Linked DNA regions of Diceros bicornis minor. The protein of the gene in region 1 binds, or shares a complex with, the protein of each later gene. Links are inferred from orthologs where the notes say so. Each region holds a gene or a part of one and is shown on either strand. Other genes may lie near its edges.

Region 1 (7,962 bases):
AAATCCAGAGAGATTTAGGATGGCTGTGTTGCAAGAGTTCTCCTTGGTTAGCCTGGATAGTTAGTATGAAATCCATATTTGCCTGACATCTTGGTAGAATTAGCAAAGCCATGGATATTCAGTGCTCCTGACTTTCTGCCCATCTCATTTGTCCCGCAGTGCCATTGTGGTTTAGCAGAGTTTTCTGGAGGTCTCCAACTTGTCTCCATGGAAATTTATGATGAGAGTTAATGGGAAGTTTCAATTTGGTCTAAGATTTCTTACCTTTACCCTTGGAAATCTATAGAGAATTTACTTTGGCCTTAATGATCAATAAAGAAGTGCCCTTGCCTCAGACCTCTTTCTAAGGTAGTAGAGTCTATGGTTCAAAAATCAAAACAGCATAAAAAGGTATACATTGAAAAGTCTCGCTCCTACCCATCCCCATCAATCCCACTGCCTTCTACTTACTAAGCATACAAATATGTGTATTCTTATTTCTCCCTTTTTCCCACCAAATTTAGCACACTGTGTGAACTATACCTTGCTTTTTTTTTTTAATGTATCTTACAGTTGCTTTCTGCAGTCCTAATTATGGTCCACTTTATCAGGTTTTATAATGATTTACAGAATGATGTGGCTATACCTACAGCTCCTAAATTGACGCCATATTTTGGAGCAAGATGTTCCATTATTATTTTTACTATTAATTCACATTTAATATTAATCATGGTCCTAAAAGCATCAAAATGTGTTCATAACATCCTCCAAAGAAAAGAAAACAGCACAATTATTGTACAGTGTGGATCATGCCCAGTTTATAGTTATAAGGAATATTTTTTTAGTCACTGGTGTCCTGGGTATACTTCATTCTTAAGTAATGTACTTAGTTTATAGCAGCTTCCTGCAAATGTGTGAACAGAAGATCTGAAGAGATCTGGTGAGATTTGGTTTCTTTGTCCTCCGAAGTCTTTATGGTTTTTGCTTCTATTGTTTAATGGTTTTTCATGAACTGGAGCTGCCCTGATAGCTATGAAAATAGGTTTTTTTTTTTTTTTATGAGGAAGATTGGCCCTGAGCTAACATCCATTGCCAATCTTCCTCTTTTTGCTTAAGGAAGATTGTCCCTGAGCTAACATCTGTGCCAGTCTTCCTCTATTTTTTGTATGTGAGACGCTGCCATAGCATGGCTTGATGAGCGATGTGTTGGTCCGTGCCCGGGATCCGAACCCATGAACCCCAGGCCACCAAAGTGGAACACATTAACTTAGCCACTGTGCCACTGGGCTGGCCCTGAAAATAGTTTTTAGTTGAGGAAAAGTATTAGGAAATTCTATGCCATGGCAGATGTTTTTCCCTGAAATGTCTTGAATATCATTTAGTACTCCATATCCCAGTGCACCACTGTGCATTGATGCCTCCGTGATAAGGAGTGGAAGCTGAGCTCAGGTACTTTGGCCCTTGCATAGGTCATGGGGTGTGTTGTGCTCATAAAACAAAACCCATATACATATATATACGTGTTGTCCCACAAACATCCCCAAGCAGAAACCAGGCTTAGCTACAGGGTAGTCCCAAGAAACTTTTGTCTGCGTGGCCTCAGATGAGTCTTTCAGAGGCTGGGATTTTGAAACCATCTGCTCCAGTCTTTCTCAGCTTCTGTGTTGTGGTGCATCAGTTACTTCACTTAAAGTTTGACTCCCCTCAAAACAGTAACTTAGGGCCGGCCCGGTGGCTTAGCGGTTAAGTGCGCACGCTCCGCTACTGGCGGCCCGGGTTTGGATCCCGGCCACGCACCGATGCACCGCTTCTCCGGCCATGCTGAGGCCGCGTCCCACGTGCAGCAACTAGAAGGATGTGCAACTGTGACATACAACTATCTACTGGGGCTTTGGGGAAGAAAAAAACGAGGAGGATTGGCAATAGATGTTAGCTCAGGGCCGGTCTTCCTCAGCAAAAAGAGGAGGATTAGCATGGATGTTAGCTCAGGGCTGATCTCCCTCACAAAAAAAAAACATTAACTTCATCAGGACTGTATTCTAGTAGGGGCTTTTGGTAATAGAACTTGACTTGAGCTTTTTGGAAGACAAAGCTCCTTTCCCCTCTGTAACGGTGGGTTAGTAGTGAATCCATAACCCCTGAAGAGATTAGGGGCCTCGGCCTCCTCTCCTCCCTTCCCCTCCCGCAGAGGCTGAGCCTCTGGAGAATGGCTCACTGACCTCAAATCTTGGGCATTTTTATAGCATGATTCTCCCCCCCAGTCCTCTACTCCTGCCAGATGTCTACATATGCTCTGGGAATAGAAAGACTGGGAACTCTTTACTCAGAATCATACACAAAGCCAGTTTTGATGGAACTTTTCCCAGAGAAGAGATGCTTTTTATATATTGTGGACACCTACCTAGGACTCTCACAGTCACCGATACCAGCTCAAGACAAGGTTGACATAAGGGAAGCCATATTGTAGAAAAGAAACCCTGTTGTAACTTTTTTTTTTCATATTATTTATTTATTTTCCCCCCAAAGCCCCAGTAGATAGTTGTACATCACAGTTGCACATCCTTCCAGCTGCTGTATGTGGGACGCGGCCCCAGCACGGCCGGAGAAGCAGTGCGTCGGTGCACGCCCGGGATCCGAACCCGGGCCGCCAGCAGCGGAGGGCGCGCACTCAACCGCTAAGCCACGGGGCCGGCCCTCCCTGTTGTAACTTTTAATGGCCTCTGACTAGCCCAACTGGATATGCACCCTCCAGGAGATGTAACCGCTCTGTAGATTTTACAACTCCTGCTTGTGCATGTACCTCCCAGCTGTGATGAGATGATAACTTTGTTCTTTTGAGTTCCTTAGGAATGTGATGACCCCCTTACAGACAGTCTATGCTGATAGCCATCATCAATGAAACTGAAAGATCTGGTGTGGCGACTCCCAGTCTGAGGGTTGACATTCCTAACCCCCTCCCCTATACCCCACCGGCCTATATAACTGCTGTAAGATTTTGTGCCCCCTTAAGATGGTTCTTTGAGACATTAGTCAGCCATCTTCCCCCTTGCTAACAAGATGTGATAAACTGCCCTTTCTTTTCCACCATCTTGCCTCTTGATGATTGGCTTTTGTCTTGCAGCAAGCAGATCCTGCCCTTTGTGCTGTAACTTGACTTTGAGTTTATCACTTTTCCAACAGCAGACAATCACTCCCATGCAGTTTAAGTGATTTATTGATGTCTCAGCTATGGTTGTTATGGTTTCAGGACATTTCAGCCATCAAGGTCTTTTAAGAAGCCCTTTTCCCTACCAGAGGCGCCGTGCTACTTCGGTCTGACTGACACTCTGTCCTCCTTAACCAGTATCGTTTTTCTTCAGCTCTTCCACTTTTGCAACATAGATCCTTATGGCGTCCATCTTGGACATCCCTTTGTTCTGGTTCCATGCCTCCCACTTGGCCTTGGCTTTCACGTCTGTGGTGGGCGGGGCAGGGATGTTGCAGTCGCCCTGGGTGGCCTGTTTGTAGAAGCTGTACACCAACAGTTTCTCTTGATCACTCACAGGTCCCTTCAACTGCTTGATAGCAGCACAGGCCATCTCAAACTCCACCTGGCACATTGCAGGAGCTGAGGCGGCGCCCCTCTGTCCTTTCTAGGTGGTATCTGGCGCTAGAAGCTGGAGGGGAGAGAGTTAAAAACGCTTGAGGCTGGTAGTTAAGTCTGGAAAGAAGGGAAAGGGAGAAAAGGAAACAGGGTAACGTGTGAGAAGCCCATAGGATATTTGTGTGTGTGTTTTCTCAGAAATCAAATGTGTGTTTTTATAAAGTACAGATTGCAAACTGGAGTCCATTGGACTGGATCTGCCCCCACAGTTGTTCTTGCTCGAATTTTCTGGGGAGGACAACCATTAACATTTCAAAGGAGTCTATGATGCCAGAAAAGAAGGAGCTGCTGCTGCTGTCTGAAGGCCGAGCACTGGGGCGATTGTGGGCTGTGGGGCTAGGCGGCTCCGAGCCGGAGATGGGCAGACCCGCTGCGGGGGGCGAAGCCTCTCAGAGCATGGCGCGTCTATGCTGGTTGGGAGGCAGCCTGGGGAGAGGCATTCCGTCTGGGTGAACTGTGTGCGGGGGGATCCCGGGGATTACCGAGTCGGGGAGGATGCGGGGCCAGGGACGGAGCTAAAGGGTAGGATCGACCGGGACTCGAGAAGCAGGGCTAGGCAAGGGACTGGACAGATGCGTGGCTGAGCGGAGCACTGAAAGCAAGGCGGCCGGGCCTGGTGGCCTGGGTCGGGGCCAGACGTTTTGGGGGCGGGCAGGGACCGGGTAGAGGGAAGGGCGGGCCCGCCGCGGTGGCAGAGAGGCGCAGGCACCTGCCTGTCGGCTGGTTGGAGGCTTCGGGCCGATAGGGGGCGCTGCGGGCCCGGCGGCCTCGAGGCCGCGGGCTCGTTGGTAGGACCGCGCGTGCGCGCCGAGCGGCGGCAGGACTGTGCGGACCGCGCGGAGCCCGAGCTGAGACTGGGGGCGGTGCCTGAGGCGCGGCCTATTGTCCCGCCCCCCCGCTGCCCATTGTGCCGTGGCGCCTGCGCCGCGCTCGCGGCCTTGGGGGGAGGGGCGCCCCGCGCTGCCGCTAGCGTCGCCGCCATGGACCTAGGTGGGTGTCCCGGCTGCCCGGTCCCGGGCCCGCCTGGGCCGCGTCCCGCGACGGGCGGCCGGGGCGGTGCTGAGCGGGCCCGGGCCAAGGGGGACCTCCTGGTCGGGGGGATGTTGGGGATGGGTGTCCTCGAAGAGCGGGGGTCGGGAGGCCGGGCTCTAGCCCGGGCCCCGCCGCTGCTTGGCCGGCCCCTCGCCCTCCGGGCCCCTTTCCACGCGAAAGGCCAAGCGGATGTGTAGTTAGATTTCCTGAAAGTGGACCGGACTCGAGGGCGCCCCGGGGAATCCCGGATGCCCTGGCGGTCTCATTTATTGAACGTCTACTGTGTGCTTCAGCAAGTGTCTTAGGCTCATGAGGCCCTCACTGATAAAACGTGGATGATGATAATGTAACCGCCTCACGGAGTTGAGGGGTTTTCGTGGAGATCACGTGTATACAGCGTCTGGGACGGCGCCTTGCGCGGAGCTAGCGATCATCAGACCAGCAGTTGTGGGGAGGGGTTGCAGCAGCCGTCGGGCACGTGCATCTTGACTCAGAATCCTCAGGCAAGGTCTAGGAGAAGGGAGCGGGGCGCTGGTATAAATCGGTGGCTCTTTGCCCAGCTTCCCACCCTGCTGGACAAGCTCTTAAGGGGATAAGACAGGCGGCTGTTCTGGGAGAGCTGGGGGAGGTACCCCAAGATGCGCCAGTAATAGTAGGCTGTGGAGAAGTGTTCCGGTCCCTGTCCCCAGACAGCTCTTCAGTGGTGGGACGGTAGAGCTGCAAGAGTCCTGCAGCTGTGGTGATTTCTGTCCCAGACCTACCGTTTTTAGTTGCGACATCCTGAGCAAATTGTTTCTGAGTCTCAGCGTTTCCATCTCTAAAACAGGAATAGTCCTCAAAAGGTTGATTTGAGGATTAGGAGAGATCTTACATGCATACCACCTAGCACAGTGCCTGGCATGGAGTAACCACTTAATAAACATGATCAGTGGGCACTCACAAGCACCGGTTAACCAGCAGTGATAAAACACTTGGGATCTGCCCAGGGATAAACTGCTTCTGGGACTTATTCCTTCAAGTAGCACGTGTATGTACTTATGGATTATGTCTCTGGAAGCTAGGTGTTGGGGGAAACATCTCAGTTGAGCTGATAATGCAATAAAGTTAAATTTACAGAGTCATAAGGGAACATATATGAGGGCCCTGGGAGAGCAGCCTGAGTAAGAAAGAAGGGCCAGAGCCCCTCAGCAACCTACCCCTCCCTGGGAGTCTGCTTTGGCCACTGGGAGCCAAGGTGGATTGCTTTCACTAGTGGTTGCATAGGAGGGCTGATCCCTTGGCCTTTTGCTGCTCCTGTAAATGGTCAAAGGGGTGGGATATTCTGTAGTCTCCTGGAATCTGGATTTTTTCTCGCCTCCTGGGGTGTGAAAATGGGGAAGATGTATTCTTGGAGGCATGAGGGAGTGAGGAAGGGGTGGCATCTCTGGGTCCTGGGAACGGGGGTGGGGGGATGGGGATGAAAAGTTAAGAATACTGAATAGTGAGCTGGCCTGGTGGCACAAGGGGTTAAGTGAGCGCGCTCCCCTGCCGCGGCCCGGGGTTCGCCGGTTTGAACCCCGGTCGCACACCAATGCACCGCTTGGCAAGCCGTGCTATGGCGGCGTCCCATATAAAGTGGAGGAAGATGGGCATGGATGTTAGCCCAGGGCCAGTCTTCCTCAGCAAAAAGAGGAGGATTGGCAGATGTTAGCTCAGGGCCAATCTTCCTCACAAAAAAATAAAAATAAAAAAAAATACTGGATAGTGAGCAGTGTTTGTGCTCTGATTTGGTTTCTGGGCCAACGTAAACAAACCTGAGAAAGACCTGTGTCCTTTTTTGTTTCTGAGCTGGGGGAGGCAAAAGATAGTGACAAGATTCTGGTCCTGCCAACAATAGAAAGGTTTGGGGAAAGCAATGTTTTTTGAGCACCTAATTGGGCTCTTTGTAGCCTGACTCTTATCATAGTTATAGCTTATTTAACCCTTGGCAGACCTGGCAGATGGGATTGGGAGCTAACAGTGAGCACCAACCCACTGCCACGGGTTTGACTAGTATAGAGCATTTGATCTTCACAGTCATAATATGAAGTCTGTATTATCCCCACATGCAGAAGGGAAGCTCAGAGAAGTCATCTGTCCAAGGTCACACTGCTTTTAAATGGCTGAGCTAGGATTTAAAACCATGTCTCATTAAACATCCCAAGATGCCTTCCTTGATAAGTCTGTGTCGATTCATGGCTCACTGAAGGAAGGACTTTTCTTTCTTAATCTAGTGCAGTATTTTTTTTTGTATCTACCTCTTGGTTTCTACCAGAGAACCAGGGCCATGAGTAGCTTGTTCTCTTTGATGGAAAGAGCCGTGGGGTGAACTGTTTCCATGAAAGGCAGAACGTTTGAAATCTGTTTGCAAGACAAGGCTATAAGAGAAAAGTGCTTGTCTGATTGCTTCCGTGCCTCTCCTAGTCTGTATCCTTACTTAGAAGCTCACTTGTCACGTCCTGCAGTATGTACTTGGTGGCCCCTGCGGTTGGGTATTGTCTTTGTGCTATTCTCCTCTCTCTCTCACTCAGCCCTTCCTCCCCAGAGCCTCTGCTGATCCATCCTTTGCTGGAGGGCCTAGCCTCAGAGGTGGAGCTTTTCCTTTTCACTTGCTTTTCCTGCAGGATCTCTCTCACTTCCTTGGTTCCAGTGATCCCCTCTGGGCAGACACCTCTCTGAGTCACATTTCAGGGCTGACTTTCCTCATGAGTGTCAACCCCACATTTCCATTGCTGGAGGACGTCTCTACCTTAATGTTCTACCCCAGACTCCAAATAACCAAATCTAAACAGTGTTCCCTCCAAACCTGTTCTGATTCTCCTGCATTCCCTATTTCCAGTGGTACCTGTTGTCTTCCCAGTTCCAGGCTAGAGAACTGGGGAGTCCTTTTTATTCCTCAGGTTAAGTTCTTTTGACTCCAGCTCTGCAGTGCCTCTTAGAACCATCTCTTCTTCCCCCTCTCCCACTGATTTCATTTAGAACCCTTATCATCTCTAACCCTGATAATGACAGCCAGCCTACTAACTGCTGTCTCTCCCTCTAATCTCGGCTTACTATTCTGAAATTTTTTTCACCACACTCTTATCTTATTTGGCTTCTCTCTGTGCAGGACCCTTGAATATCTGTGAAGAAATGACTATTCTGCATGGGGGCTTCTTGCTGGCCCAGCAGCTGTTCCGCCCCAAAGCACTGGCAGAATTGACAAAGTCTGACTGGGAGCATGTTGGGCAGCCCATTGTGGAGGCCTTGAGGGAGATCTCCTCCACCGCAGCATGCTCCCAACCCTTTGC
Region 2 (8,384 bases), on another chromosome or scaffold:
CATCTGTCCTCACTTCCTCTCTCTAATCCATGACCAGCAGCTCACAAAGGCTCTTATTTAGCTACTTATCTTAACTGAGCTGCATCTGGTGGATCACAGTGATGCAGAGCAATGGCTCGTAAGTCTGACAACCCAGGAAAGAATCTCGACTCCATCCACTTCCTAGTTATGTGAACTAGGCGTGTTACGTAACTTTTTCTGAGCCACAATTTCATCTGAAAACAAAAATAACAATAATACCTACCACTTAAGATAACAATATATTGTGATGATTAAATGAGATAATCGATACAAAACAGCCCTAAGAAAGAGAAAAGCAGCCTCTTCACCCTGAAGGATCAAGACAAAATTAAGACCACTCTGTAATCGTGTCTGAAGTCAGACAAAATCAAGACAGTTGTGAGGGGAGGGCAAAAGTGGTAACAAGGTGATGGATGTACGGATGTACGGTGATAGACAGCAACTAGACTTTTAGTGGGGAATAAGATGTAGTCTACACAGAAGACGAAATATGATGTACACCTGAAATTTATACAATGTTATACATCAGTGTTACCTCAAAAAAAAAAATCAAGAAGATTGTCCAGTGAAGCCTCTCATCACTTACTGTGATTGTATAAGCAAGAGTTTAAACCTGGTGATCAGTGCCTCCCCCTGCTCCATTACCCTCATGGAAGGGCGTGCTGGTTGAGGGTCAGGTGGAGCAGGACAAATGTGGGGGTCATCTCACTGTTGAGGGAGCCCCGAACAAGAGGCTCCTGCAGATTTATCAAACCAGGTGCGTGGGGGGTGGGGGGGGAGCAGAGCGGCACTAGGAGTGGAGAAGTCCTGGGTACTGAGTTAGAGTGGGAAAGTTTCCTGGAAAGGAGACCTCCAAATGGAGACCCCTGGGCTAGGAATGCAGCTGTGCATAACAGCATGGCCGGCCAGGGGGCCTGAGTCCTTGACTGCAAGTTCCTTCAGAGACTGCAACGCACTGGCTGGGTGCACCAAGTCTAACGTGGGGAGGACAGTTTTCCCCTGTGAAGCCTGCCGGGTAAAGTCTTTGTAATTACTTTTGGTCGGGCCTGAAAAACCACAAATAGATTTTTAACCAGGAGCTGGACTCTTCAGAATTATCCCTGTTTCCTGACAGCAAAGCGCCACTGTCCCCAAATCACCTAACAAAGCCCAAATCCTACAATATATAAGTTAGTTCTAACCCCATCTTACTGAGACATTGCCTGGTTTCAGTAACCACGTGACTACAGGAGTATTCTGGTGGTCTCTGGTTGAAGGGCATTGACAGCCCCCAGCACACAGTAGGAAGATACTCCGTAAATATTAACTATATACAGCTACATTTCTCACAACCCTGTCCAGCACCATTCACTCCCTACCTTCTATGCATTAGCCACACTGACCTCCTTCCAATTTTTCCACCATGACCTACTTCCTCCAGCAATAAGGCCTTGAACAAACTCTTCCCTTTACCTGCTGAGACTGAATATACAAACAGACAATGGCCAGACCATACACATAAAAAAAGGACTCTGACCCACAATCTGCAGCAATCACCCCAGGAAACCAACCTATTATTCTACAGTAACCAGGCTGGCAACAATCCAAGAAGCCAAACAATAACCCCTGTAATGACTGTCCCAAAATAGCCAGAACTTCATTAATAATTGACAGCTTTCCTAATTTTTTTCCCCTGCTTCCAATTTAGAACCAACCAGAGAAAGCAAAACATGCACCCCCTAACCAATTTCATAGGATGTCCCACTTCTAGGCAGAATAGGGTTTCAGGGCATACCACCCCAAAATATGCCACTTTGGAACACTAATTATTTTGAGTTAAAGGCACTTGAAAAACAGCAGATGCAAGAAAGCTGCTCTGATCTTTTTTCTTCTTGAAAAGAAGAGATAAAACTCTCATGTGAAAGGCGCCCTCTCTAAACCAGGAGAAAGGAAGACCTTCTTATCACCTGACATGGGGAGTTAAGGCCAAGATACATCTGTACAAACAAACCTTGTTAAAGTAACCTTTATCTTCCCATTTACTTTTCCACAATTATCTGCCCTAGCCCAAATTCCTTCGTCTTGTCACAATTTACTATTTTCACAATTTACTATTTTTTGTCCAACCTAGTATGTAAACTTTGGGCGCCAATCTCTTTGGGTCTTGATTTTTCTTGTCAAGGTTCCCATGTACATGTAAAAAATACTAAATAAAATTTGTATCCTTTTCTCCTGTTAATCGGTCTTAGGTCAGTTTAATTCTTAGGCCCAACCAGAGACCCTAAGAGAGTAGAGGAGAAATTTTACCTCCCCTACAGTAGGCCACCTACAGCTTTCTCATGCTAACAGCCTCCCCTTTTTTCCAGTATAAGCTTTCCTACTTCTCTGCCTGCCTTTGAGTCTTTGCCAAAATGCAAGTAGTGGAGGCTGACTCCCTTCTTATAGCCAACTCTGAATAAATAGTATTTGCTTGTTCTCATTTGGTCAGTCTTCATTTATCTCCACACTGCAAGGCTCTTCCCCTCCCTTGAAATGTTCCTTAATAGAACTTATCACAGTTAACCTTTAAAATTCATCTGTGTCACCGTTTGGTTAACATCTCTCTGTCCACTGGACTGTAAGCACCACAAGAAAAGCAGCTCACCACTGTCACTCCCAATGCCTGCCCACCACAGTGCCTGGCACGTAACAGAAAACCGATAAATAACAACTGGATGACTAAATTCATTAAAGTTTAACGGCATAAAGAGGCAAGTGAAATTTTAGATTGTGGCCAAGGAAAAAAGAACTGAGAAAGTAGGATAAGACAGAAGAAATTCTAGTGTAGTAGATCTTAAAGAATAGGGAGGGAAAGGATAAAATGGATAGGCTAAGCTTTGTTTCTCACTTGAAATGCTTCTTAAAATGTCCACTTCAGGGCCCCACAACCAATCAACAGAATCAGAAACTCTGGAGGAGAGAGTTACAGGACCCCAGAGTCTCTATTTTAAATAATTTCCTCCAGATAATTCTTATACACACTAACATTTGAGAATAACTGAGCTGCTTAAGGGGATATAAATCACAGGGACAACTTTTGCATTTAGCTCTGTAAGGTTGACAACAGAAGCCACCATCATCAATAAACAGCTGTTGAGTGTTCTGTTCTCACAACGCTCATATAACTCCAACAGCCAACCACCAATGTAAGAAATACTGAAATACAAAAATCTCTCCCTTATAAGCTGAGAAGTGACTGCAAATCCTTGAAAATGGGGCACCAGAGGGAGTTGAGTACCTTAGGAATAGTCTTCCTGGGAGGAGGTTAGATGAAATGGTATTTATAGTTTTAGAAGTTCAGCTTTCCAAAAATTAAGCTTTTTTTTTTCAGAATAACTTCATCAACAAAATAAACTTATTCTCAGCTGTCCCATATCTCACTGAAACATTAAAAAAAACTTAGTGCAATTTCCAATTTATAACCATATTAAAAATCTGCTCCAAAACTCACTACTAATTCTTTTGTCTGATTAGTTTGAAGTAGCAGAAAACAACCTTTATAAATTTTTAATTTACCTTCCTCTCCCCTGAATGAATTCATTCTTGTGTATCTAAAATTTTAGAACCATTTCAGAATCATTCGTGTACTTTATTACTCACCTCTTCTTTTGGAGAATAATCTATTATTCTTTCCTGGACAACCTTTGTTCCATTCTGCTAGTCCTCTCCTTTCTTCCTTCATCCATGCGTAGTTCTGCCACATACTTATACATAAAGTCCGGTGTTAAGCATTGTTCCATTGGTGGTTGGTCTACTAGGTAATCACCTGTTCTTTTCTCCAGAAAAATGGGGAGAAATTGCTAATAAGGGAAAATATATATATATATATATTTGTAAGGAAATCCAGAACTGAAGTCTCTGCTTACCTTTTCTAATTTGTTCTTGATTATAACCAAAAAGTTTGGGGACGAGAGTATCTTCCCATATTTCTTCTCTTTAAGTCTGTTTCTTCCAAAATCAGTAAAATTTATAACCAAGTAACTTCCCAGTTTGACTGCAGCCAGGCAGTGTCTCTCCAAGTCTCCCAGTTGCTTAGTTACCGTTCATGAGCACTAATTCTTCAGCTCTTAACCTAAGGACTGTCCTCCCTTTATCTTCAACCAAGAAAGTGACATTCTGGTTTCGAAATCAATTGCTTGCAAGCTGAAGGCAGTGCTTCAAAAAAAGAAAAGACCTTAAAAATAAACATAAACCTTAGAAAATAAGTCAATTGCATTCACTCAGAGTTTGTTTAGAATGAGACATAACACTTGCATTGTTTCTTGCAATTTATGACCCAGCACAAGCTACTTACTCCATTTCTGCCCTGTTTCCTCACCTGTCAAGCGGAGATAATAGTACCCACCTCACAAGATTCGCCCTAAGGTTAATAATGCTAACTCCCGGGTGTTGGCATTAGCTTTATCCTTTGCACTATTTATATTTAAGCAAAGAGACCTTTCTGAAAAAAGAAAAAAGTGACGGCTACTCTAGGAGTAACATTCATTTCAGATAAACCTGAAATGATAAAGATAAAGCGATCTTTGAAATAACCAAGTACAAGAAATTCCTCTGGAAAATTAATTTTTCATTCATTTGGCGTCAGATGAATCCGGTGGAAGTGGCTCCGCCCCTTTGGGAGAAAGGCACAGTTGTAGGACTTACCCCCTTTCGGTCGCTTTCTTCCCCTACAAAACCGGGGTAATACCACCTACTTCAAAAGGTGGCAGTAACATTACACTACGAAATGTATGTGACCTGTCTACCGGGGGCTTAAAACTTGAGAGCTCAATAAATGATCATTACAGTAATATCGCTCATTAATTCAAAAAACATTTAAGGATCCCTCACTACTACGGACCCATAAAGGTTGGTAATCCGCAGTCTTCACCCGAACCTTAGCAGAGAGAACGGAGGATACCACGCAGGCGTACTTCAGAACCCCTTCTGCCAGGACCTAAATTCGCGGTCTCCATTACACCACCGGAGCCTTAACCTTGAGACAATCAGCATGTTTGCTTATGCGCAATTACGCCCCCTACGCCCGGCCTCTCGCTCAACTCCGCGCCAAAGGTGCCTACTTGTGCGCCTGCGCTGTAACCTAGACTTGGCGCATGCGCTGGGTGGGACTGGCTGGATTGAAAGCCATGGCGTGGGTACCAGTGGAGTCGGCAGTAGAAGAGTTGATGCCCCGGCTGCTGCCAGTGGAGCCCTGTGACCTGACAGAAGGCTTCGATCCCTCCGTACCCCCGAGGACGCCTCAGGAGTACTTGAGGCGGGTCCAGTGAGTGATTCGGCCCGGAGCGGGTGGGCTGGTCGTCCCCCTGCCCGCGGGGCCCCGCTCGACCCCAGTGTTCACGTGATAAAGCCCCGCCTCTTTTGCCGGCCCTCGTCTCCCGCCTGTTGGGGTCTGATCAAGATCCCCTGATTGCATCTTGACGTGGGCGCGTTTCTATGAACTTAATTCTGTAAAACCTGATTACCTGTGTCAAGATGTGTGCTCTTAGATTTCCTTGGTTTCAACCCAGATAATTTCAGAAATGTGTTGTTTAGTACCTCAACTGCGGTTCTGAACTTTTCTTCTGATTTCGTAATGAACTGTAGAAATGCATCACTCGTTTTACTGCACATGAACAAAGCACGATAGTAATCACATTTCTTGCATTTATCATTTATTTGTAGGATCGAAGCAGCGCAGTGTCCAGATGTTGTGGTAGCTCAAATTGACCCAAAGAAGTTGAAGAGGAAGCAAAGTGTGAATGTTTCTGTGAGTTTTATTACCTGTCAGGGGATATTTTTACCCCCACAAATTAAAAGACCAAGGCTCTTTCTATAATATCTGACAGTATCAATTATGAAGTAGATAAGATTTGACTGCACCCTGCAAGGTTAGACGTTTGCTTGTACTTTTTCCCTCAGAAGGATGGTTGGCATTTACTGCCTCCGAAGAGGCTTTCAGTAACCCTGGCGTTCTTGGAGATTTGCTCATTCTTGAGGGACATGATCCAATCCTAAAGGAGTCTTTAAATAGGTTATTTATGCTATGTTTTGTTTTTAAGGAACCTTTTTCCAGTTCTTCATAATTATTGGACTGGTGTTTTATTTAGTGTAGTTTGCATGTTCTAAATTTGACTAGGTTTTCTTTTTGGAAACCCAAATATTTTACACTTTTCCAGCTACTTGCACACTGTGAACGTTTTCATTCTTTTATTTATCCAGCACATTTTTATTAAGCATCTAGGTTGTGCCAGGCACTGGGAATACAACAGAGGATGAGACAGGAAAAGTCCTTACTCTTGTAGAGTTTACATTCTCCTGAGGAAGACAGAGTAAACAAATAAACAAACTAACTAATTACACGTTTGTGACTATTACTATGAAGAAGATTAACATATATAATGACTAATAAATAACAGGGAGAACTACTTTACATAGAGCAATCACAGAAGGTCTCTGAGAAGGTGCTATGTAACCTAAGGTCAGAGGAGAGCTGCGGTTTTTAAATTGTGATAAGTCCTTTTCCTTTTATGTTCGAAATCTGATGTTTATAATCGCGAAATTTTAATTCAGTCACCATAATATGTCATATAATTCCTTTCGGAAGTTTTTAGATGGTGGAAGATGATGTCTTATATACCTAGCTTTTAAAAAGTGACCACAGTAAGTTTTATTTCAAGGCAAAATGTGATCAGTTGTGAACTGTGTGCTGTTTTAGGAAACATAAGTAGCCCTTGTAAAGTCAAGTGTCTTAAATTATTTATCTACATTCTGCCCATACCAAAATTCTTTATTTCTCTTTTTGTTTCAAACTGTTTTGCTATTATAGAAGGATAGTCCTAGATTGTATCTTCAGGGCTCAGATCATTTAGGTTTCTTAGGAACTCCAACTATAAACCATTTGAGATTGCTCTTGTTAAAGTGACTATATAAGGATCTTTTCCTAATGTTTTAAACTCAGACATAAATAGTAAAGTGAAATGCCTACTTTTTTGCATCTGCAAAAAGTACACAATCTTTCTTATATAATTTTAATCATTTCCCTTATTATTGACTCTCCTTCTTGGTTCTACTTTTACTCTGTAGAGGCATGAGATTCTAGTTATACCACTAACATTGATTCTAATGTTTGTGAACTGATCTCTAGCTGTCAGGATGCCAGCCTGCTCCTGAAGGATATTCCCCCACACTTCAGTGGCAACAGCAACAAGTGGCACAGTTTTCAACTGTTCGACAGGTAAGTGTACTTTAATCATTTAATTAAATTAAACTCCTCCCTCCCTCCTTCAGATTTATTTCTGTTCTTAGACTGTAGTTGGAAAAATAAGATTCCTGATTCTGAAGTATAAAGATAATATTTATGGATGAATTACCAAATTATTATCGTAATATTAGACATAACACAGTTTGAAACGTTATTTTCCAAGTTTTAGGGTTGTTAGAATGTTGTATAGAAATTGATTTCTTTTCAGTTATCCCTTCTCTGAAGATCACTTGTCTAACTTTTCTTCCTCTAGAGTGTGAACAGACATAGAAGTCACTGGAAATCGCAACAGTTGGATAGTAACGTGACCATGGTATGTAAGTTTCTCTGTTTAAGTTGTCCAGTGTGTACCTATTTGAAATAGGCCATATGTACTTCCAGTCTTTTAAAGATTCACTTTCTTAGTCCATGTTATTTTCATTCTGTTCCATCTACCATTAACGGTAGCAATTCCATTATATTAGTAGCCTGAAAAGTATAGAGTCAGTATACAACAATGCAAGTTATTTTCATGACAGTTTTAATCCACAGCATCTTGAGAGACTTTGGATGGGTAATTGTTAGGCCTCTACAAGTTTCTAAGGGTTCTTCTAGACATTTGCTTTTTAGGAAATAAATACATTTTCATATTTACAAAAAGACTGAATAAAGGCTTATTGGATTTTCCTGATGAGGAAGTGACGCCAATACCAGTAACAGTGCCTGTCACACACGCCGGAAAGTAGTATTTCCCATGTTTTATCACGTTGGATATAATTTTAAGCTCTTCAGTAGATATTTTCTGTCTGGACTACTGAATAAAAAAAGAGAGTTGGGGAAGAGATAAATACATTGTTCCGGGACAATACTTTTAACGTTTTAGGGAGTCTCATATTCATCCTGAGAATCAAATGAAAGCTATTTATCTTCAGAGGAAAAAAATGCATCTATGCACACAGTTTTGCTCATAGTTTCAGGTGGTTCATAGATTTCAGATTTTAGAAGCATCCTCTAGGCAGTGCTTCCTAACATCTTATACATGGTAGCACGTTGGGATAATGGAGGAGGCTGTTCATATAGTCTAAGCCCACCAGCTGAAAGCTGCGAGATTCAGTATATGGCCTCT
Region 3 (8,101 bases), on another chromosome or scaffold:
CTTCCTATCCTTCCTCCCATGCAACACAGATTTCTTGATACATCATTATAATCACTCCTTTAAAAACACCCTTATCTCCTCTGTCCCCTCTCTCTCAGGTATATTTACTCCACAAAATCCCAAACCTGGCTGAATCCAACCATCTCCTTAGTCAGTTTGAGTAGTTTTCTTTAAAGTCATGACCATGACCCTTAGCTTGGCAGTCAACATGCACCAGTGGACCTACCACTTCCCTCAGGAAGTTCATCTTCCTATTCTCTGAGATGACTGTTTTCATACCTTCTTCCTGCATCCAGTTCCATTCCCACCCTGAACTTGACTTCACCTCTCTGACTTATACCTCACTGAGAAAATCAGAAGCCATCAGAAACACCATTCTCTTCCAACCAGATCTACAAACTTACCTGCACCGATTTCCATATTCTCAGCTCTTCTTTCTACTTGTGATCTGGATCCAATCCCCTCATGACTTCTCAACATCACTCCTGTATTCATATTTATCACTGTTTATCCCTGCAACAAGCTCTCCCTCATCTGCCTCATTTCCATCAGCACAAAAATATAGCCCTTTCATAAAGGAAAATGTTATCTTCCATTTAATACTCCCATATACCTAGTGCTTATGTCAAGTCTTCAAACTACAGAGAATGGACATCTTTGAGAGAGGAGTAAATGGAGTGGTGAAGGAAAGGGAGATGCCTACTCAGGCAGCTCCTGTAAAACAACCTTGGTGATCAATGAGGAGACGGACCCCAATGCCAGATCACTTTCTCAATGTAGAGGGAGAGCTGAGGACCAGAGAGACAGAGCTTAGTCATTTGACACTCTAAGAGTAAGTGTTATATCCATGGACAAGTACAGAGGGAGAAAAAGGCGAAAGAGGGTATTTCCCACATTTGGAGGTTGACTAAAGAAACCAGATATGAAGAATGAGGAAAGTACAGTACCATGGAAACAAAGGAAACAAAAACAGAGAGAGTAGGAGAGATAGTAAAGGTGTGGAAGTCACAGGAATGAATGATACCAAGGGCTCAGGGAGAGTGGTTAAAATCTTCAAATGGTCTCCTCTGAGGAATAAAGGACAGGAGAAGGTAAAACAAATGCGAAATATGATCATAAACAAAAATTATCAATACAGAGGGTACAGTACTTACCCAATGGCTACTAAGTCTTCATGATGAGGTGAGCAAGTAAGACAGAAAATTGTCCTGGGTTCTATAAAGAGGTGCTGGCTGTCATTTCTGTTAAGCCAGTAACAGAAAACTACTCCTTTTTCATCTCCAGATACTATTAAATCCTTTACTCGAGGAGACCAATGCAATGCTGATATTGTATGCTTGAAACCAAAACAAAAATACATTTGCTTCTCATTTGTCAATGCTGAATTTTTAGTTTTTAACCTGTACAGTACTAGGTACATGATAGGTATTTAATAAATACTGTTAGTACCACTTGTAGAGCAAGACTACATTAACCAAATGATAGGAGAATTTAGGCTACTGGGGATCAAAGAACCATTTTAAAAAATTTCTTCCTTTAATAGCTTAATGCAAAGTTCTTACTAAGATTAAGTGAGTCTTCTCCTTTCCAACATTATCTCAAAAGGCAGGTATATCAATTAATCAACTGGTTTAGAAATATGTTTCATTCACTCATTTATAGTTTACATCAAGAGTCTTTTTCATGTAAAGAACCAGATAGTAAATATTTTAGACTTTGTGGGCCACATTGTCTCTGTTGCAACTACTCAACTCTGCCATCGTAGCATGCAAGCAGCCAATACTTAAATTGTAGACAATACTTAAATGAATGACTGTGGCTGTATTCCAGTAAAACAATTTGCAAAAGCAGGCAGCAGTGTAGTTTGCTGACCTGGTTTATACGTATCTCCTTCCAAAAAAGTTTTGAGGCACCTTACAATACAGAACTTCTTATCTAATTAATGAACACAATTATAAAAGTTACTTGCACAGATGAGCTAGCAAAACTATACTTGAAGCAAAAGAACCCTCAGTACAGATAGATAATAACGGTCTAAGAAACCAGTAAGCCATGGTACCTGATGCAGTGCATGTTCTGTCACAACTGTTTTTGTCTCTACATCCCAAATTTTCACAGTCCCATCGTCAGAGCTGGTGGCACAGAGGTTGTATTGACCCGGGTGATGAGAAAACGTGAAGCCAGAGACCCTTTCGGTGTGTCCCACCAACTCCCCTATGACTTCAAGCAAAACCAGACTCCAGGTTAGAGCGTTACCTAAGATTTCTGGCAGAATCATACTGTCCTGAGATGATGAGTGGGATCTCACTTACTCTACTGTATAACAAAAATATCCAGGGAGTCACAATCAGAAACCCCAAGTGCTGGTATTGGCTCCACCACGTACTTCAGACAAGTCATTTTATCTCCTTGAGCCTGTCTTCCCAACTGCAAAATGCTGCTGACATCCCTTGATGAGCCCAGTTCTCAGGCTGAGAAGCAGCTCAAATGAACAATGTAAAAGTGATTCTTATTTAGATCTGGCCAGAGGTCGTTTGGAATAAAATAAGTATCTGGCATGCCATATCCCAAGGCATAATCAAAACCTAGTTTGGAACCGGAAAGCATCTGGCTCAAGTCACTTATCTTACAGAAATGAGTATAATATATTTGCAGGATCTTGCTTAAGGCCTGGAGATGTAGGCAGCCCCCAAGCCCAGGAAGGCTCCCAGGGGCCCGAGCTCACTGGGTGGGGGAGGCAGGCAGGCCAGCCATAGACGTTATAAATGCCTGGAATTAGACAAGGATAACTTTTCAGAAAGCGAGCGGTCCCACGTGAGAGCGCCGGGAGGCGGGACCGCTCGCCCAGAGTGGTGTAGCTCAATCTTGGAGACCTGGACGCGACTCAGCTCAGTGACTGTGAGCAGACCTTTCTCCCTGCCCAAGCCTCAGTTCCCCACCTGTAAAGAGAGGGGTGGCTGGAGACGCCCACTCAGCGCCCCCAGGGAACTCAAGAAGTGCAGGAAGGCTGAGGCCCAGAGAAGGAGAATTACCTCGAAATGGGGGCGTCCCAGGGATCGCGCCCGCGCCCGGGCCCACGCGGACAAGGAAGACAGAGGTCCGCGCCGCGAAGCCGAAGAGGCCCCCGGGCACCGCATCGCTGCATCGGGCGCAGTACCAGTTAGGGGAGGGCGGCAGCGTGCGCGGCTCCTGTTCCATGATGACCCGCCACCAGGGAAGAGGGAAGGAGCCGCTGAGGCAGAAGGTTCGTAGCCCCACGCCGTAGCCGGGAAGGGGGCGGGGTTGGCTCGGAGCCCCGCCTCCTCGGGCCTGCCGCTACGGCGCGCTCGGAGGCCCAGGCCGCACCGCGCGCTCTGCTCCCGCCGCCGGGGGCCGGGGAGGGCGGGGCCCCGCGCGTCGCTCTCTGCCTCCAACCCCGCCCGCGGCCGAAGGCTCTGGTGATGCCTGAGCCTAGCCCTGAGGTAGGCATTCTCGCCTCTTAGAGCAAGGTACATAGTTAAAGGGTTAGACCGGTGGAGTCACCTCCTCGCACTGCCGGTTTATTCTTTGGACCTGTTCAACCGCTATCCCATCAAGTATTTTTTTTTAACGCTACGTGCCAAGGCCCTTTGCTAACTCTGGAGATGTTTTAAAGATATGTACAAGAAGCCAATTAACAAAAGATAAAAAGGTCAAATCAGAAATCAAAAAGAGAAGGAAGAGTGTCTGCAACTAGGTGGAAATTCTGGCTCTGGGTTCTTGGTACTCAAGGAGAAGCAGAATGAGTGACACTCTTTTGATTTGATTGATTGAGTGCCAGCTCTGTGAAGGGCACTGTACATGGTAAAGGCTGTGGAGGAAAGAGAATGGAAGTTTCCTTCCAACGCAAACATGCTAAGATGCTCAGATTCAGCACTTAGACTCTCCTTCTGAATTACTTGTTTGCATTGGGTATCTAGCCCTCCTACATCCGTAGCAAATGAAACCTGAAATATCTCTCCTATTATAGTGAGGTCAAACAGATATTTGGGTGTGGGCAGCGGCACTAACTTTGGAGACACCCAGTCCTAGATTGACCACTGGTTTTGCCAGTTGTTATCTGAGAGACTTTAACTTATCCCATATCTGTTTCCTCATTTGAAGAAGGAAGATGATAATCCATGCCTTGTTGGATTGCTGTGAGGACTACAGGAGATTTAGTGAAACGCCTTTTGGGCATACATGGTAGCAAGTGCCCGATGAATATTAACTCATCTTTTGGACATCAACCTCAACCTGGAGATTAGCAGGGATTAGGACGTCATACTTAGTATTTGAACTGTTTGTTCTTTAAAAGAGCTTTCCCACGATCTCTAGTGATCTTTACGACAAGCCTGTGCTGTAGGGATACTCATTTCTGACTGTTTTACCGACGAGAATACTGAGGCCCACCCAGGTTAGGTGGCTTATTCACGGTCTCTGTTTTCCTAATCCTTTAGATCATTTGTGAGGTAAGGCTTCGCAGTTTTTCTGGATCCCGATGAATTTCCGGAAACTCGCTACTTTTAGGCCTTTATTAAGTCATTCATTCTCAAGCAAGGCTGGCCGGACCACACTTAAGCGCCGGCCGCGTGTTCACGGTCTCCATGACAACACAGGTATAGGTACTGCTGGGTCTCCCGACGGGGAGGAAATCCGGAGAATTGCGCATGCGTCTTGTCCAGACGGTGTATGAACTCGGAGGCTTCCGTAGAGGGAGGGACAAAGATGGCGGCGGCAGTACTGGAACGTTTGGGTAAGGATTTCTTTAGTAGTTAAGGGATGGAGGAAGGGAGTGGAGGTGGGAGTCTGAAGTGATGGCTTGTGTTGATATTGCAGGTGCGTTATGGATGCAGAATCTGAGGGGGAAGCTGACCTTGGGGTAAGTTTCTCGCCTCGGAGTTGCAGAAGGGCCCGAGGCTTCCTTACTAGTCTGTCAGTCGATTACTGAGCGTGTGTGCCAAGGTCTGCTCTAGGCTCTGGGGCTAGCGAACAAGAGAGCCAGTCTCTGCTTTGCCAACCCGTTTTTTCCCCGCCGTGTTGCATAGCCCTGCGGAGATCAGGATTACCCATTATCCAAGGGACGTTGAAAATGTTTTTTCTGAACAGTCTCTTTTGATCTTTCTGGACGTGGTTAGACTCTCCCAACCATGTCGGGAGCGTGCAGCTTTTCTAGTGACCTCTCTCGTTACTTGCTTACGTGAGCAGGCACTGTATTGTAGACAACCGCGGTTTACATCGTGCCTCACATTGAGTTAAGCTCCTTATACGCATTACCTCATTCTCGTAACGTCCACGTAGTGTAGTACTGCTATACCCATTTTTCAGACAAGGAAATTGAAGCCCCCAAAGTAAAATAAGTTGCCCAAGGTCCCCCAGTCATAGGAAGTTTTGAAGCTTTATATTATACTCTCTAGAGCATTCTTTGACCTCAGGACAAAAGCATTCTTTAGGATTAGGAAATGCAGTTGAGTCAGTACTGGCAAGAAGCCTTTCTCTGCTCCCCTCTCATTGTTCCTTGTCAGCAGTACAGCTGTTGATATTTGGAGATTGATAATCTGATTGTAAATATTCTGATCGGGGCATTTGTTAGCATTTATTGTGGTTTAGTTCGTGGGCTTTGGAGACAGAAAAGTTGAGTGTGAATCCACTTCATAACTCTGTAATTTTGGAACAGTCACTTATCCTTTCTAAGCTTTGGTTCTTTTATATGAGTAATGTTAGTACCTACTTCATAGATTTTTTTATGGAGATTACATGAGATAGTGCATATGAAGTGTTTCGTATAGTGGATGGCATATAATAATCCCACCTTAAATCCTAGCTGCCATTAGTGGTTTTGTCGTTGTATATTATTATTTATAATATTTTTATATTTATAATATAAATATAATATATTTAAAATAATATAAATATAGGTATAAAATAAATATAAAAGATAAATAAAATAAAATAAAAAATAAATAATAAAATATAAATATATTTATAATATAATATAATATATTCCCATTATATTTAGCCCTGTCCTAGATTCTTGGGTCAGGGATGAAGAGGTGGGCTAAAGAAGAAAATGGGAAGCACTGGCCTTTAGAATTCGTCTTCACTTTGCTTTCTTAGATTATTTTCTATCACTCCACCCCAGCCATGCCGGTTTACTTACTTTTTCTGAAAATGCTGTGCATTTACTTACTTCTTGGCTTTTTCATGCTGTGCCCTCACTTCCTGTCTATAACAGCAGTCCTCATTATTCAAACATCTGTGGAAATGTTTCCCCTTCACAAGATTTTCTCAGATTTCACTAAAAATGGAAGAAATTAATTTCTCCTTCCTTTCAGCATGTGTTCTTTGAATAATGGCTTCACGTATATGTGTCTGTGCCCTTTACTAGCTTGTATCTCCTGGACAGAGGGACAATTCTTGTTTCTGTTTGTAACTCCAACATAGGATCTTGCACAAAGTGAATATTTTGTTAATTTTTGTTGATTTATATTGTCCTGCACTGACTTATACTGGGAAGCTCTGAGCAGGTAACTTAAGCAGTTTGACTTCAGTCTTTTCATCTGTGTAATACAAGACGGTTGGATTTTGCTACATGATTTCTAAGTCTCTTTTTAGTTCTGAAGTTATATAATTTTGTGAATCCGCATTCTGGACTTTCTAATGGGGAAATGATTATATAAAAACTAAGTAGAAAAGGTATAAAAAATGTTCATGATGACCATGTAAAATCTTAGAGATCATCTGTTTCAGCAGTTGGGAACCTAATTGCATATAGATACCAGACAGCTGGTAGAAATCAACGAACCAGGAGAGGTGAGCTGTGTAAAAGGAGAGAGAGTGGTAGGGCGTGTGGCAGTCAGTAGGGTGCATTCTTCATCTAAAGGCATTTTATTGGATTAAGAAAAAATGCTGCTGGCCAAGTAAAACTTTTCTGTAGGCTGTATTTGGTAGCTGACTGACAATTTGTAACCTTTAAATTCCGAGTCTCCCATTTTCCTGATGGATGCACTTGGGAAGTTTTGTGACTTACGGAAGGTTACACTGTTAATACAAGGCAAACCTAGGATCTAAACAAAAAATTCTCTGGCTTTGAATAGTGCTCTGTCACACCATGGGAGAGACAGAGTGAGGGGCCCAGAAGGGGTTTGTCAGGGGAGTCTTTTTTTCGGAAGAGGTGATTTTAAAGTTTAAGTTTAAAAAGTGAAGAATAGGGGCTGGCCTGGTGGCGTACTGGTTAAGTTTGCGCACTCTGCTTTGGTACCTGGGGTTCGGATCCTGGGCGCGGACCTGCAGGCTGCTTATCACACCATGCTGTGGCAGGTGTCCCACATATAAAATAGAGGAAGGTGGGCACAGATGTTAGCTCAGGGCCAGTCTTCCTCAGCAAAAAGAGGAGGACTGGCAACAGATGTTAGCTCAGGGCTAATCTTGCTCACCAAAAAAAAAAAAAAAAAGTGAAGAGTAATTTTGGTGGTTTAGAAATAGAAGAGCTAGTGTAAAAGTTTGAAAGCACTAGTGACTAAACTGTACGTAGGTTAAAATTCTCTGCAAGAATAACCAAGTTGGAAATGTCATGAATTAGCAATTTGGTGGAAAAATGATGACAACAGTGTGATATAATTGAATCAACACTGGGCTGCAGGAGATAGAGCTGGATTTCGGATCTCTGCAGCAGACAAATATTGTGGCCATGTGCTTAACTTCTCTGAAGCTCAGTTTCCTCATCTTAAAAAATGAAGATAATATCTACATTAGAGGGTGGTTATGAAAAATAAGAGACTAATATGTAAAACGTCAATTAAAGTGCCTGGCACTATGAAGGTGTGGTGGGGATGATATCACCATGAAGTTCTTGCAAAGGAATCAGATTTTATGCTGGAACCACTCAGTAGCCATTCAACAGTCTTAGGTGAGATTACATATTTCTTCTATCAGCCCTACTTTTACAAAACAATTGGCAAGAAGATAAGAAACTGAAACATAAGTTAGCCTACTACATGAGGTAGCCTACTAGACATTTAGTCAAATCACTTTTGAAAGACTTTTCTAAAGAAAGGTTAGCAATTTTCTGTGGTTTTTCTTCATCTATGCTTTCAGTGTTCTG

The links. The genes of interacting proteins can lie anywhere in the genome.
Region 2: GEMIN4 (region 1) and GEMIN2 share a complex: the UniProt entries of both Homo sapiens proteins name them as parts of the SMN-Sm complex. The link is inferred for Diceros bicornis minor from reciprocal best matches to the Homo sapiens genes GEMIN4 and GEMIN2.
Region 3: GEMIN4 (region 1) and GEMIN5 share a complex: the UniProt entries of both Homo sapiens proteins name them as parts of the SMN-Sm complex. The link is inferred for Diceros bicornis minor from reciprocal best matches to the Homo sapiens genes GEMIN4 and GEMIN5.

What each region holds. Positions count from the first base shown.
Region 1 is NC_080757.1:16,807,757-16,815,718, reverse strand, and holds the start of GEMIN4 (gem-associated protein 4), read left to right. Parts: upstream 1-4,558; 5' UTR 4,559-4,602; coding exon 4,603-4,612; intron 4,613-7,781; coding exon 7,782-7,962. Other genes in the region: diazepam-binding inhibitor-like 5, read right to left, coding at 3,315-3,578. UniProt on the Homo sapiens protein: The SMN complex catalyzes the assembly of small nuclear ribonucleoproteins (snRNPs), the building blocks of the spliceosome, and thereby plays an important role in the splicing of cellular pre-mRNAs.
Region 2 is NC_080744.1:11,013,852-11,022,235, reverse strand, and holds the start of GEMIN2 (gem-associated protein 2), read left to right. Parts: upstream 1-5,132; coding exon 5,133-5,302; intron 5,303-5,700; coding exon 5,701-5,785; intron 5,786-7,162; coding exon 7,163-7,252; intron 7,253-7,532; coding exon 7,533-7,592; intron 7,593-8,384. UniProt on the Homo sapiens protein: The SMN complex catalyzes the assembly of small nuclear ribonucleoproteins (snRNPs), the building blocks of the spliceosome, and thereby plays an important role in the splicing of cellular pre-mRNAs.
Region 3 is NC_080740.1:71,286,929-71,295,029, forward strand, and holds the start of GEMIN5 (gem-associated protein 5), read right to left. Parts: upstream 3,253-8,101; 5' UTR 3,199-3,252; coding exon 3,033-3,198; intron 2,221-3,032; coding exon 2,060-2,220; intron 1,337-2,059; coding exon 1,155-1,336; intron 1-1,154. UniProt on the Homo sapiens protein: The SMN complex catalyzes the assembly of small nuclear ribonucleoproteins (snRNPs), the building blocks of the spliceosome, and thereby plays an important role in the splicing of cellular pre-mRNAs.